Linked DNA regions of Notamacropus eugenii. The protein of the gene in region 3 interacts with the protein of the main gene of each other region in a pairwise test. Links are inferred from orthologs where the notes say so. Each region holds a gene or a part of one and is shown on either strand. Other genes may lie near its edges. The genes, in order: APLF, APTX and XRCC4.

Region 1 (3,748 bases), on a different chromosome or scaffold from region 3:
TTTCGCAGTAAGGGGGACACCGGGCAACCACTTTTAACTGCCTTCCCTCGTCACTGAAAGCTACAAAGTATCCTAGGTCTGTCCTTTCGCAGTAAGGGGGACACCGGGCAACCACTTAACTGCTCTGAGTTTCTTTTGAGTTCCTCACCTATAAATCAGGTGTAAATTTTCCCCGCAGCACGTGCCCCACCGCAGGGTGAGACAAAGCACTTGGTAAGCTTTAAGATGCCATTAAAAAAACAAAAACCCGGCAAAGTTACCTCCCCCCGCCTGCCCCGCCCTCCTTCCGCAGAGGGTGTCAGTCCTGGGCCGATGACAGCCCCAGGAAGGACCGGGCGCAAGCCCTCGGGGAGAGATCAGTCACCAGCCCCGAGGAGTGGAGACACACGCCTACTCCTCGGTCGCCCCCCGCCCCGGGCCGCCTTATAACTGGGGAGTTTGACAATGACCGAAACAACCACGGTCCCCATCAACTGTCACCGAAGCTTGGGAGCCGGCGCGTCAGGCTCGCAGCATTCGCTGGCAAAGGCGGGACGCGTGGGCTGCCAGGAAATTCGGGTCCCCTACCTGCTTGGGGCTAGGGCAGCCGTTACACGGCCCCCCCTCCCTACAGTGCTAACGGCCGTTTAAATGCTTCGGAATTCGAATCCAACCCCATCTTGCCAGCTTGCTCTACGCCCCGCCCACTTCGTCGTGCCAGACGCCTTCTTTCTGCGCAGGCGCAAAAGCGAGCTGCACAGCGCCTGCTGGGAAGAGTAGTTTTTAGAGTTCCAATTGGACAAGAATGAGAACGGAAGGCGGCAGAGCTAAAGACTACAAGAACCAGAGCCGCGGGGAAGTCGCGATGGGGGTGGACACGTATGAGGCTTGCAAACCTTTGGATTGGCTGCTGAGGGGAATCCCGGCTCGTCATGGGGCGGGGTCAGCAAGAGGGTGTCTCCCGTGTTTTGGCGTTCGTGTTTCAGCGGTGCTCCAGGGTATTATCCCGCAAAGGGGTCCTTCAGTCCGCAGGCCGGTGAGGCGTCGCCGTGCGAGGCCGAGGCTTCGGCCGAAGCTGCTCTCGTCATGGCCGGGGGATTCGAGCTAGCGCCGGCATCTGGCGGCCCGCGGGTGGCCCTGTCGCCCGGGGAGACGGTGATCGGACGCGGGCCGCTGCTGGGTGTAAGTGTACGAGCAGCCCCCCCGCCCCGGGCGCGCCGCGGCTCGGCTCGCCCACCCTGCCCTGGCGCTTTGCCTTCCGATCGGGGTGGGCGCGTGCTGCCCAACTAGCCCCGCCGTCCCTTTAAACAGGCCAGAAAGTGTCTTCCGCTGGGGGCGATGACGCCTGGGTGAGCCAAGTGTTTGCAAACTTCGTTGAGCCTCCCAAGTGTGCGTTGCTGTTTTCACCTTTTTTTTTAAACCAAGGCTTTGTCACTTTGTATCCTCGATGCTGCGGTGCGCACGAAAAGTTTTATCCACAGACCCCCCAAACCGCATGATACACTTGTAATTTTAGTCTGCACTGTTAACATTTTCTCCGTTACTCTAGTCCACAGAAGCAACAAAACAAGACACCAAGCCCTGATTGAAGTGTTTGCCAGATTTCTGAGATGTCCATCGGATCTCTGCTCCAGCAGCACCTTTGCTTTTGTAGCACCTAGGTGTAGGCACTTTGTATGATAGAGCGCTGAATTTGGAGTCAGAAAGACCTGAGATGAAATCCTGACAAAGATGCTTATTAGCTGGGTGATCCCGGGCGGCTCACTTAACCTGTTTGCCTCAGTTTCCTTATCCGTAAAATAGGCATGCTGATAGCTCACTGGGTTGTTATGAGAATCAAATGAGATAACACGTGTAAAACCACTTTGCAAAACTTAAAAAGTGTTATATATGACATATATACTGTATTATATATAGTGTATATAATATATATTATATAAGTGTTATACGTACCCACACATATGTATACACACGCATATAAATAAATGCTCACTGTGAGAGAGGTTTGGGATCTAGAAATGAGTAAATTATGCTCTTTATCTTCCATTTGATTTATTAGAAACTTACCCTCTTATCTATCTTTGCATAGGATTGTTTTAATTAGTGCCAAACGGCATTTAGTCCAGTGTTCTTATTTTGCAAATGGGAAAACTGAGATGTAGAGAAAGTGACTGAGTGAATAATTGGCAAAGGTAGGCGTGAAGTCTGGTAAGCTTCAAGGTTTGCAAAATCCTTAATAAGTATTATCTCATTTGATCCTCAGTCCTGTGAGGTAGATGCTATTATTACCCCTATCTTACAGATAAAGAAACAGAGGTAAAAGATTTAGTGATTTAGGGTCACACAGCTAGGAAGTACTTGAGGCAAGATTTGAACTCAGGTTTTCTTGATTCCTAACTTTGTGCTTTATGCTTTGTCCACAAAACTTCTTGTTCAAAAAGCAAAGATGAAAGGTGCTTTTAAGAAACCAATTGTCCATTGTCATGAAATATTAGAGCTGGAAGGGTAGTCGTTAGAGATGATCTAGTTCCACTTGCTTATTTTCCAGATGATGTAATTGAGAACTAGAAAGGTTAAGTATGTCCGAAGTTACAGCTAGTAGTACCAGGGGCAAAATTGGGACTGTCACTGTAGTATGACTCCCAAGTCCAGTATTGTTTCCCCCATTTTATTACTAACCAAGAATTTTGCCCACTTTCGAGAATTTAAACAATTTCTCTGCATAGATATCCCAACAGATGCAAGTATTGAATGGATGAGAGAGAAGTTTTTGTTCTTTTTTTATAAAGAAAATAAAAGGGACTTGGTTTACATCTGCTAAACTCCATTCAAAGGTGCTAAGCTTTTCTTCCAAAGACTTTGTACTCAACTTTCAAATCACAAAAACATTTATTAAGTTATTACTGTGTACAAGACGTTGTGCCAGGTAGTTAGTATACAAGGACAAAAATAATTTCTTCCATAATCTACACAACAACATAATACAAATCAATTTGAGACTGGTGAATGAATACAATTTAGGACTATCAGGAAAGTCTTCACAAAGGAAATGGAACCTGAGAAGCAGTAATGTAAAGGAAGTGGATTTTAGGCACCTGGAATAACATGTACAAATGACTCGAAGCAGGAAATAAGCTTTGAGGAATAGTTAACTAGTTCCTGTTTTCTAGTGTAAAGGAAATCAAATTAGAATTTTTTTGTGGTTTTTGTTGTCCTAAAAGTGCCTCTGATTGAATAATGTGATTGGGAGGATTTTTCCCACCCATTGATGGGCCTGCCCTTTGTGGGAAGCTTGATTATGGGAATAGTTTTGTAGGAGGGTCCCAAGTGCCTTTTGTTTTTTCTCGAGTCACTGGGTTAGAGGGTTATGCCCTCTGGCCCTAAAAAGTGCATAAATACTCTGAGGGTGAGATTTTACTTTGGGGTTTACTGACTGGAAGTGTTTGTTTGGCCAGATGATGACTCTGGGCTACAGCTTTAAGGAGCCCCCCCACCCCCTGCTTTGAAAACCCAGATGTCATTTTCTGGTAATTATGGTCAGACAGCTATCTGTCAAGTTATGGTCAGACAGAAGAAGCCATATCTGTTTATTACTTTGGGAATTAGGGTGTTGGCTCCCCTAAACTAGGTGAATGATGTATGTGCTTGACTAAAGGATTGATACATGTGCTTGATTAAAGTGATTGTTAACCCCGCAAAAGTTTTCTTTCCTTTTATGAATGCAGGTGAATGTGATGGCAAGTCCCCTTGGGTATGTTGGGTTACTTAC
Region 2 (3,748 bases), on a different chromosome or scaffold from region 3:
GAACTGGGACCCAAGCTCTAAGGTACTAAGATCTTTTTATATACCTTAGGGATATCTAATCACTTGACTGCTTCCAATTCACTCAACCTCCCTCATTCACATCTCCTAGCCCAACATGATCATTCACTTCAATATAACCCTCAATAATATTTTAGACTCTTTCAACTCCTTAATCATCTATGGTACAAATTATCAAACCTATTTTACCATCCCTCCACTGAATTCCACCCTTTCAAAAAGTTTTTTTTCAAGCCTTCACTTTTTAAAAAAATGGAATGAAGGATTTGAAATTAGAGGTCTTAGGTACAAATCTTAGTTAGTACTTGGAGATCTGAGCAAGTCACTTAACCACTCTGGGTCTCAGTTTCAATTATAAAATGAGGCGGTTGGGCCCTTCCTGTTCTATAACCTATATTCCATAGTTCCCTTTCTGTCAAGCTGCTTCAATCCTTCTCATTGCTGGCTCCTTTCCTTTGTCTTCAAGGACACGCAGGTCTTCTCCTTCCTCAAAAACAAACAACCAACTAAACCTTCCCTTGACCCTAAGTAGTCCTCTTAAGTAACCATACTATTTCTGTTCTTCCTTTCATGACTGAACACCTTATAGGAGTATCCTTAAAATGGTGCATTTATTTCTCTCTTTGTTCATTCAACAAATCATAGGTACCCTTTCTCACTCTGGTTTCTATTTCCTCTACTCTACTGGAAATAAAACTAGTATAAGTCACCAGTGGAGATAATATTAGAGCCTACCCCCCAAGGCTGTTGCGAGGCTCAAATGAGATAATAATTGCAATGACTTTCGTATAGTACCTGACATATAGTAGGCTCTTCATAAATGCTTGTTTCTTTTTCATCTCTTAACTCCTGCCCCTTTATCTCCTACCCTCAAGAAGACTAAAGTCCTCATTCTGCCTTCTGGTCTTCCAAAATCTCAAGTTCTTCACAACTACTAGCCTAGAGCCTGCAAGATGAATGGCAACACAGTGTGAATAGTTATCTTCTCAGACTGATTAGCTGTCTTGATTTTTCCTGCCCTAACTTCTTATTGTTTATGGTTTACCCAAATCCACCAAACTCCAAAATTAGCTCTTCCCTCCCTTCAAAACTTTCGTCAATTTAAATAAAAACTGATACTGTAATTAAATTAGGAGAGCAAAGAATAGTTTATTTGTCAGATTTATGGAGAAGGGAAGGACTTATGACCAAACAAGAGAGAGAGAACATTGTGAAATGCAAAATGGATGATGTTGAGTACATTAAATTAAAAAGTTTTTGCACAAACAAAGCCACTGCAACTAAGATGAGAAGAAAAACAGAAAGCTGAGAAACAATTTTTACAGCCAATGACTCTGATAAAGGCTTCATTTTTAAACTATATAGAGAACTGAGTTGAATTTATAAGAATATAAGTCATTCCCTAATTGATAAATGGTCAAAGGATATAAACAAGCAGTTTTCAGAGGAGGAAACTGAAGCTATCTATATAGTCACATGAAAAAATGCTCTAAATCACTACTGATTAGAGAAATGCAAATCAATAGTAAATATTGGAGAAAATGTGGGAAAATTGGAACCCTAATACAATGTTGGCGGAGTTGTGAATTGATCCAACCATTCTGGAAAGCAATTTGGAACCATGCCCAAAGAACTCCAAAAATGTGCACACCCTTTGACCCAGCAATATCGCTTCTAGGTCTGTATCCCAAAGAGATCATAAAAAGGAGAAAACGGCCTTGGGCCCTTTGGTACAAAAATAATTATAACAGCTCTTTTTGTGGTGGCCAAGAACTGGAAATCGAGAGGACGTCCATCAACTGGGGAATGGCTGAACAGGTTGTGGTCTATGGGTGTAATGGAATCGCTACTGCACTGTAAGAAGTGATGAGCAGGAGAAAAACCTGGGAAGACTTCTATGAACTGATGCTGAGTGGAATGAGCAGAACCCGGAGAGCGCTGGCCATGGTACCAGGCACGCCGCTGGAGGGCTGACTTTGATAAGACTTAGGTAGCTCTTCTCAGCAACCAAGGATCTGAGACAACTCCAGATCAACAACGGAAAACGCTGTCCACAACCAGAGAAAGAATCCAGTCTGAAGGGAGTGGAAGCGTCCTATTTGCACTCCTTTTCTTTGGTTGTTTTGTTTCTTCTTTCTCCTAGTTCCATTAGTTCTGACTCTTCTTTACCTCATGACTAACGTGAAAATATGCTTAATATGAAGGTATAAATAGAGTCTATATTAGACTGCGTACCATCTTGGGGAGGGGGAAGGAGAGGGGAGAAAATGCAAAACTCAACGTCTTATGGAAGAGAATATTAAAAATTAGTTATCTAAAAAACCCCCAAAACTCTCTTCTTCTCAAAGTGTGTCTCAAGTAGGTAGCCAACTCTCGACCTATGGGATGAAGTTTAAACTCCTCATTTTGGCACTCGAAGCACGCCATGACATGGACTCGCCAACCTCGATTCCCATACAGCACTAATTCAGACTCTTCAATGGACTTGTCGTGTGAGTGACCCTGGATGTAAAATGAAGGCGAGCTCTAAGGCTCCGTTCATTCCGGCCTACATTCTCATTGCAGACCTTCAGCCCCGTCCTGTCTCGCTCTGCTCCTGGACATCGCGCACCTCGTATTTAGAAGAACATAAGGCCCCTCCCCCTCCTTCGAGGCCCCCGGGCGCTTTCTCCTACCACTGCTCGCACTTCTCTCTACGTAGCCATGGAATAACTCAGACCATCTTCCTCTCTTACGTCGTAAACTCCTGCGAGGATGGGTGCCGTGCCTCTCCCCGCCCCCCACGACACCCATACACTTTGGTGGCTGACTTTAATTCCAATTCTAAAAGTACTGGTTGCTTGGTCACACACAGTCGAGGCAACCACGTTCGTTCTATTCCAGCAGGCCCCGGAAGGTGTTTCCCGAATGGACCGCCAGAGGTCCGAGGGCCCCTTCGGAGAGGGACGCCCCCGGCTCCGGGGTGGCACCGCAGGGCCCACCCTCGCTTCTCCTCCTCCCCCTCTCGGTCCCATTTCCCAGGGAGATGAGCGCCCCGCCCCCTCCACACCGGTCAGCCCCAGACACTGCCACAGAAAGGGCAGAAGCCACGACCAGGCTGGCAGCTTACCTCTTCGGATGTTAATGAAACTGTCTCCAGGAAAACGGCAAAGCTTTCCTTCGGCAGGCACTTCCGGTCGAATTCCGGATCCCCCTTTTCCCAGCCCCTCCCCCAGCAGGACAGCGCACTAAAATGACGTCACAAGGAAGCGACCGCAGCGTTCGCTACGCGGGATTGGCCAGGAAGGGCGGTCCCGCCCCTTCCCTTTTGTGGCGCTCTCGGCCAATCCTCGCAGCAGACGCAGGATCACGGAGGGGAGGCGGGCGTTCCGCCCGGGGCGCTGGCCGGGCCTTTTCCTTTCTTTCCACTCTTTTCTCCGCTTCGTTCCTCTTTCTCCTCTCTGCCGCCCTCCGGGCACTTTCGAAGGGGTTGTAAAAGTCCCTCCGGCGTGAATAGCAAGGGCCTTGTCTCCGTGAGGCTCCGAGGCCCGCGAGCCCGGGGAGGCGGCCCCCTCGCGCCCGGCGTGTCCGCGTCCTAAGCCCCGACGCGGGAGGGGACGCCTAGCCTCGCGCTCCCGTGATCACTGCTTACGTCGGCACGGTTGTACCCCGAGAGGCGGGAGCTTTCCCGGCCGGCCTGGGCTGGAGGCCCGTGCAGCCGCGCTGCCTCGCTGTGGACCGGGCCTCCGTC
Region 3 (3,748 bases):
GATTATGCTAACTTGTTATATAACAAGATATTTGTTTGTTTGCTCCGTGGGGGAGAGAATGAGAATGGTAATAGCAATGTCAAAAAATACAAGAGCACAAGAGAAGCACTGAAAGAAAATGCAAAGAGGTTCAGAGAAACACCGACAAGCAAAGCAGCTTTGGAACATGCTGAATTAAAGAAAAACAAACAAGTGATTCATAACGATATTCAAAGCTTCATATACAATTCTATTTCTTTCTTAAGCTGTGTCAAGTTTAGAATTGCAATTTTTTAAAAAAAAGTCAACCACTAGACAACTTCCCAGAGCTACCTTTAAATCTGTTAGAGGATCAAGTTTATTTATCATCACAGAGAATCTTAACCTACAATAGTGTATCTAGCAATGTAAAATCTGGGTAGAAAAAAATAGTCAGGACTCACTATTTAGCTATTAAACTGGAAATGCTGAACTTCTACCCAAGGTACGGTACTGGCTGGAGTCAGGACAACTTTTCAGGTTACAAGGATTGAAGCCTTCTTTTGTAAATATGTTGGCTTTAAAAAACAAACAAAGATTTCATTGGCTGAACAGGGAATTAATTTCTAGTAAGGAAACTCCCTCTGCCAATCTAGAGCAGTACCAGCTATGTAATTTACGGTATTTTTCAGTTCCTTTGGAGACACCGGGGGTCACACATCCAGTGGGAGTCAGAGATGGGGCAAATACACAGCAAAATCTTTTGGTGTTTAATCTAACTGACAAATACTACGTATAAGAAGCTTCATATGAGATCCTCCCACCACTCAAATACTTGTTATGCCTTCATCGGTTCAAGATTTATTTTGACGTCACTTCCAGATGAGGCGTCCCCTAAGGAGGCTTCACCTTTTACGTAAGCAGGTTTGGGGGGCAGGCAGGCAAGGTCACTTCAGTGACGGACACCTTGGGGGTGCACCACTGCCTGTGGGGGGATGGTACAAACAAATAGCTCTTTCAGCCCGCGCTGGGGCCTGAAAAGTCTTCCCTAGACGGTGCCCGGGTGAGGACGGGAAAGGAAAACCGGCAGAGAAAACCCGGGAGCCTAAAGCCCCGAAGACAAACCGCGCCACGATCGGGCCTCTCCCACCGGGCCGGGGACGCTCTCAGCGGCTATTTTTAAAGGCCTCCGCGGGCGGGGGGCATCTCTGGGCAGCGCCGGGCCCCGCGCTCCGCCGGCGCTCTGGGACGCCGGTAGCCGGGCGCGGGGGGCTTCTCCTCGTCCTTCTCCTCCCCGCCCCCCTCCCCGTCTCTCGGCCCTCTCTTTTCTACCCTTTCCAGAAACCCTTCGTTCGGGGGTTCGGGGAGGGGCACCTCGCTGCCTCCCCTCGCGGGTCTCCCCGTCTGCGCACCGGAGCCCGCCCCGGGTCCCGTCACCCCCGTGCCTCGGGGCCACCCCCTGCCCACCGCCCGCACCAAGTCAGCCCCGAGCGCCGGGTCTTACCATAGTGAGACCTCCGCTACCCCCAGCCACATCACCCTTCCGGGGCAACGGGCGGAAGAGGCGTTGGGCCCCGCCCCCTCCGTCTGGCCTCGTTCCCCACGCTTCCCGATGATTGGTCCGAGGTAGGAAAGCGCTTCACGCGCTGCGAGGCTGCGGCGGCGCGGTTGGTCGAGAATGGAGGGGAGGGGCCGCTCGGGTAGTGACGCCATGGGAGAAGGGCCCTTCTGATTGGCCGCGGCTCTTTCTGCCTCGGGAGCGGGCCTTTTGGAGGAAGCCGGAAGTGGAGGCTCTGAACGAGGTAGGGCCCGGAAGCGGGGGTGTCCCAGCGAGCCTGGTCTTTGCTGATCGCCGTCGGGTTTGGACTCCCGGGGGCTGCCCCAGTTTATTTCCCCAGTCCCTCCAGCTCCTTCTCGAGCTGGCTTCCCATTCTTCGCTGCCCCTCCCTCTGCTTCGGAAAGCGTCAGCAGCCCCAGTCTTCTCCGGGCCTGGGCAGAGTCCTTTCCCCTTATTCCCCTGGGCTGGCCTCATTCTTCCCTCCGGGCTTCGGAATCCAGGCCGGGGGGAGGGGGGCGGAATTAGAGAGTTTAAGGAGAGATTTAATTGGTTGAGATCCCGGTCAGGTGTGGGCGAATCGTAGGGCAGAGGAATTAAGCAATTTTTTAAGCACTTACTGTAGGCCCGTCGTTGTGGCTAAGACCCGAGATACGTAGAAACCACCCCCAAGTTCTGTGGTTCTTGCCCTGAAATAGCTCCAAGGCGCGTGTAGAAACAATATATCCATGACTACAATGTATCCATGACTAGCTACATTTAAGAGCTCTGCGGCGTGCGTGGAGAGAAATCCCAGAGGCTTGGGGCTGATGGCCCCAGGGAATGGAGATCCTGCAGAACGTTTGAGCTGCAGGACAATCTAGGGATCTAGGTGAGAAAGGAGAATATTTCCAGCGTGGGGACCGCTCGGGTGGAGACACTGAGATGGAAGGTAGGGTGTTCTGTGGGAGGAACCCCAAGAAAGCCAGCATGGCTGGATCATTCAGTTCCGGGACGGTAGTGAAGTAAAGCAGAAAAGAACCGACATATGAATTGCTTTGGTTGCCAAACAGAAGACTTTATTCGATCCTACGGGTAATAGGAAGTCGAGAGAAGGGGGTGACAAATAATGTAGAAGAAGAAATGACAGGGTTTGGCAGTGGGGTGGGGACATGATTGAGAGGGATAAAGTCTAGAATGGCTTTGAGCTTGCAAACTTGAGGGACTAGGAAGCTGGTAGTGTCCTCAACAGTTATAAGGAATTTCAGAAGATGTGGATTTTAGGGGGAAAGATAACTTAGTTTTAGATACGTTGAGTTTGAGACGCCTTTAGCACATCCAGTTCAAAATGTGGAAGTGGAGCTATGGAGATAACTGAGGGCTGTATATATAGATCTGGGAATTATCTGCAAGGCTGAAAATTGAATCCATGGATGCTGATGAAGATCAACAAGTGAGATTGTATAGAGAGCTCAGGACAGAGATGTGAGGGATACCCACATTTAGTAGAAGTAAGGGACGGAAATCCAGCAAAGGAGATTGAAGAGTGAAGGAAGGAGAAGAAACAGGAGAGAGCAAGGTATGAAAACTTAGGAGAGTATGAAAAAGAAGGAAGTTACCAACAGTGTCACATGTGGTAGAGAGGTCAAGAAGGATGAAAACAGGAAAGATTAGATTTGGCAATTAAGAAATCATTGGCAACTGGAGAAAAGTTTTACTTGAATGATGTATTTGGAAGCCAGATTGCAGTGGGTTTAGAAGAGAGTGAGAATTACTTGTTCAGTGCTATGTTAACCAAACTGCCAAAAAATAATAGAGCTAGAAAAAATAATAATTCATTTGGAAGAACAAAAGGTGAAGAATATCAAGGGAATTAATGAAAAAAATGCAAAGGAAGGTGGCCTAGCCCTACCAGATATCACACCATATTATAAAGCGGTAATTATCAAAACATTTTGGTACTGGCTAAGAAATAAGAGTGGTGGATCAGTGGAACAGATTAGGTACACAGTACTATAGTAATCTAGTGTTTGATAAACCCAAGGAACTAAGCTTTTGGGGCAAGAGCTCACTATTTGACAAAAAACTGCTGGGAAAATTGAAAAGTGGTAAGGCAGAAACTAAGGATACACCAACATCTTGTATCTTTTACTAAGATAAGGTCAAAATGAGTACATGATATAGACGTAAAGAGTGTTGCCATAAACAAATTAGGAGATGAAAGAATAGTTTATCACTTCTAAGAAAAAGGGAAGA

The links.
Region 1: the proteins of XRCC4 (region 3) and APLF interact in binary tests that used the Homo sapiens proteins (3 or more experiments, as listed by UniProt). The link is inferred for Notamacropus eugenii from reciprocal best matches to the Homo sapiens genes XRCC4 and APLF.
Region 2: the proteins of XRCC4 (region 3) and APTX interact in binary tests that used the Homo sapiens proteins (3 or more experiments, as listed by UniProt). The link is inferred for Notamacropus eugenii from reciprocal best matches to the Homo sapiens genes XRCC4 and APTX.

What each region holds. Positions count from the first base shown.
Region 1 is NC_092872.1:635,105,661-635,109,408, reverse strand, and holds the start of APLF (aprataxin and PNK-like factor), read left to right. Parts: upstream 1-1,040; 5' UTR 1,041-1,065; coding exon 1,066-1,161; intron 1,162-3,748. UniProt on the Homo sapiens protein: Histone chaperone involved in single-strand and double-strand DNA break repair.
Region 2 is NC_092874.1:312,850,990-312,854,737, reverse strand, and holds the start of APTX (aprataxin), read right to left. Parts: upstream 2,867-3,748; 5' UTR 2,812-2,866; coding exon 2,694-2,811; intron 1-2,693. UniProt on the Homo sapiens protein: DNA-binding protein involved in single-strand DNA break repair, double-strand DNA break repair and base excision repair.
Region 3 is NC_092875.1:460,069,997-460,073,744, reverse strand, and holds the start of XRCC4 (DNA repair protein XRCC4), read left to right. Parts: upstream 1-741; 5' UTR 742-874; intron 875-1,462; coding exon of another isoform or gene 1,463-1,465; exon of another isoform or gene 1,466-1,760; intron 1,761-1,983; exon of another isoform or gene 1,984-2,444; intron 2,445-3,748. Other genes in the region: TMEM167A (protein kish-A), read right to left, coding at 1,463-1,465.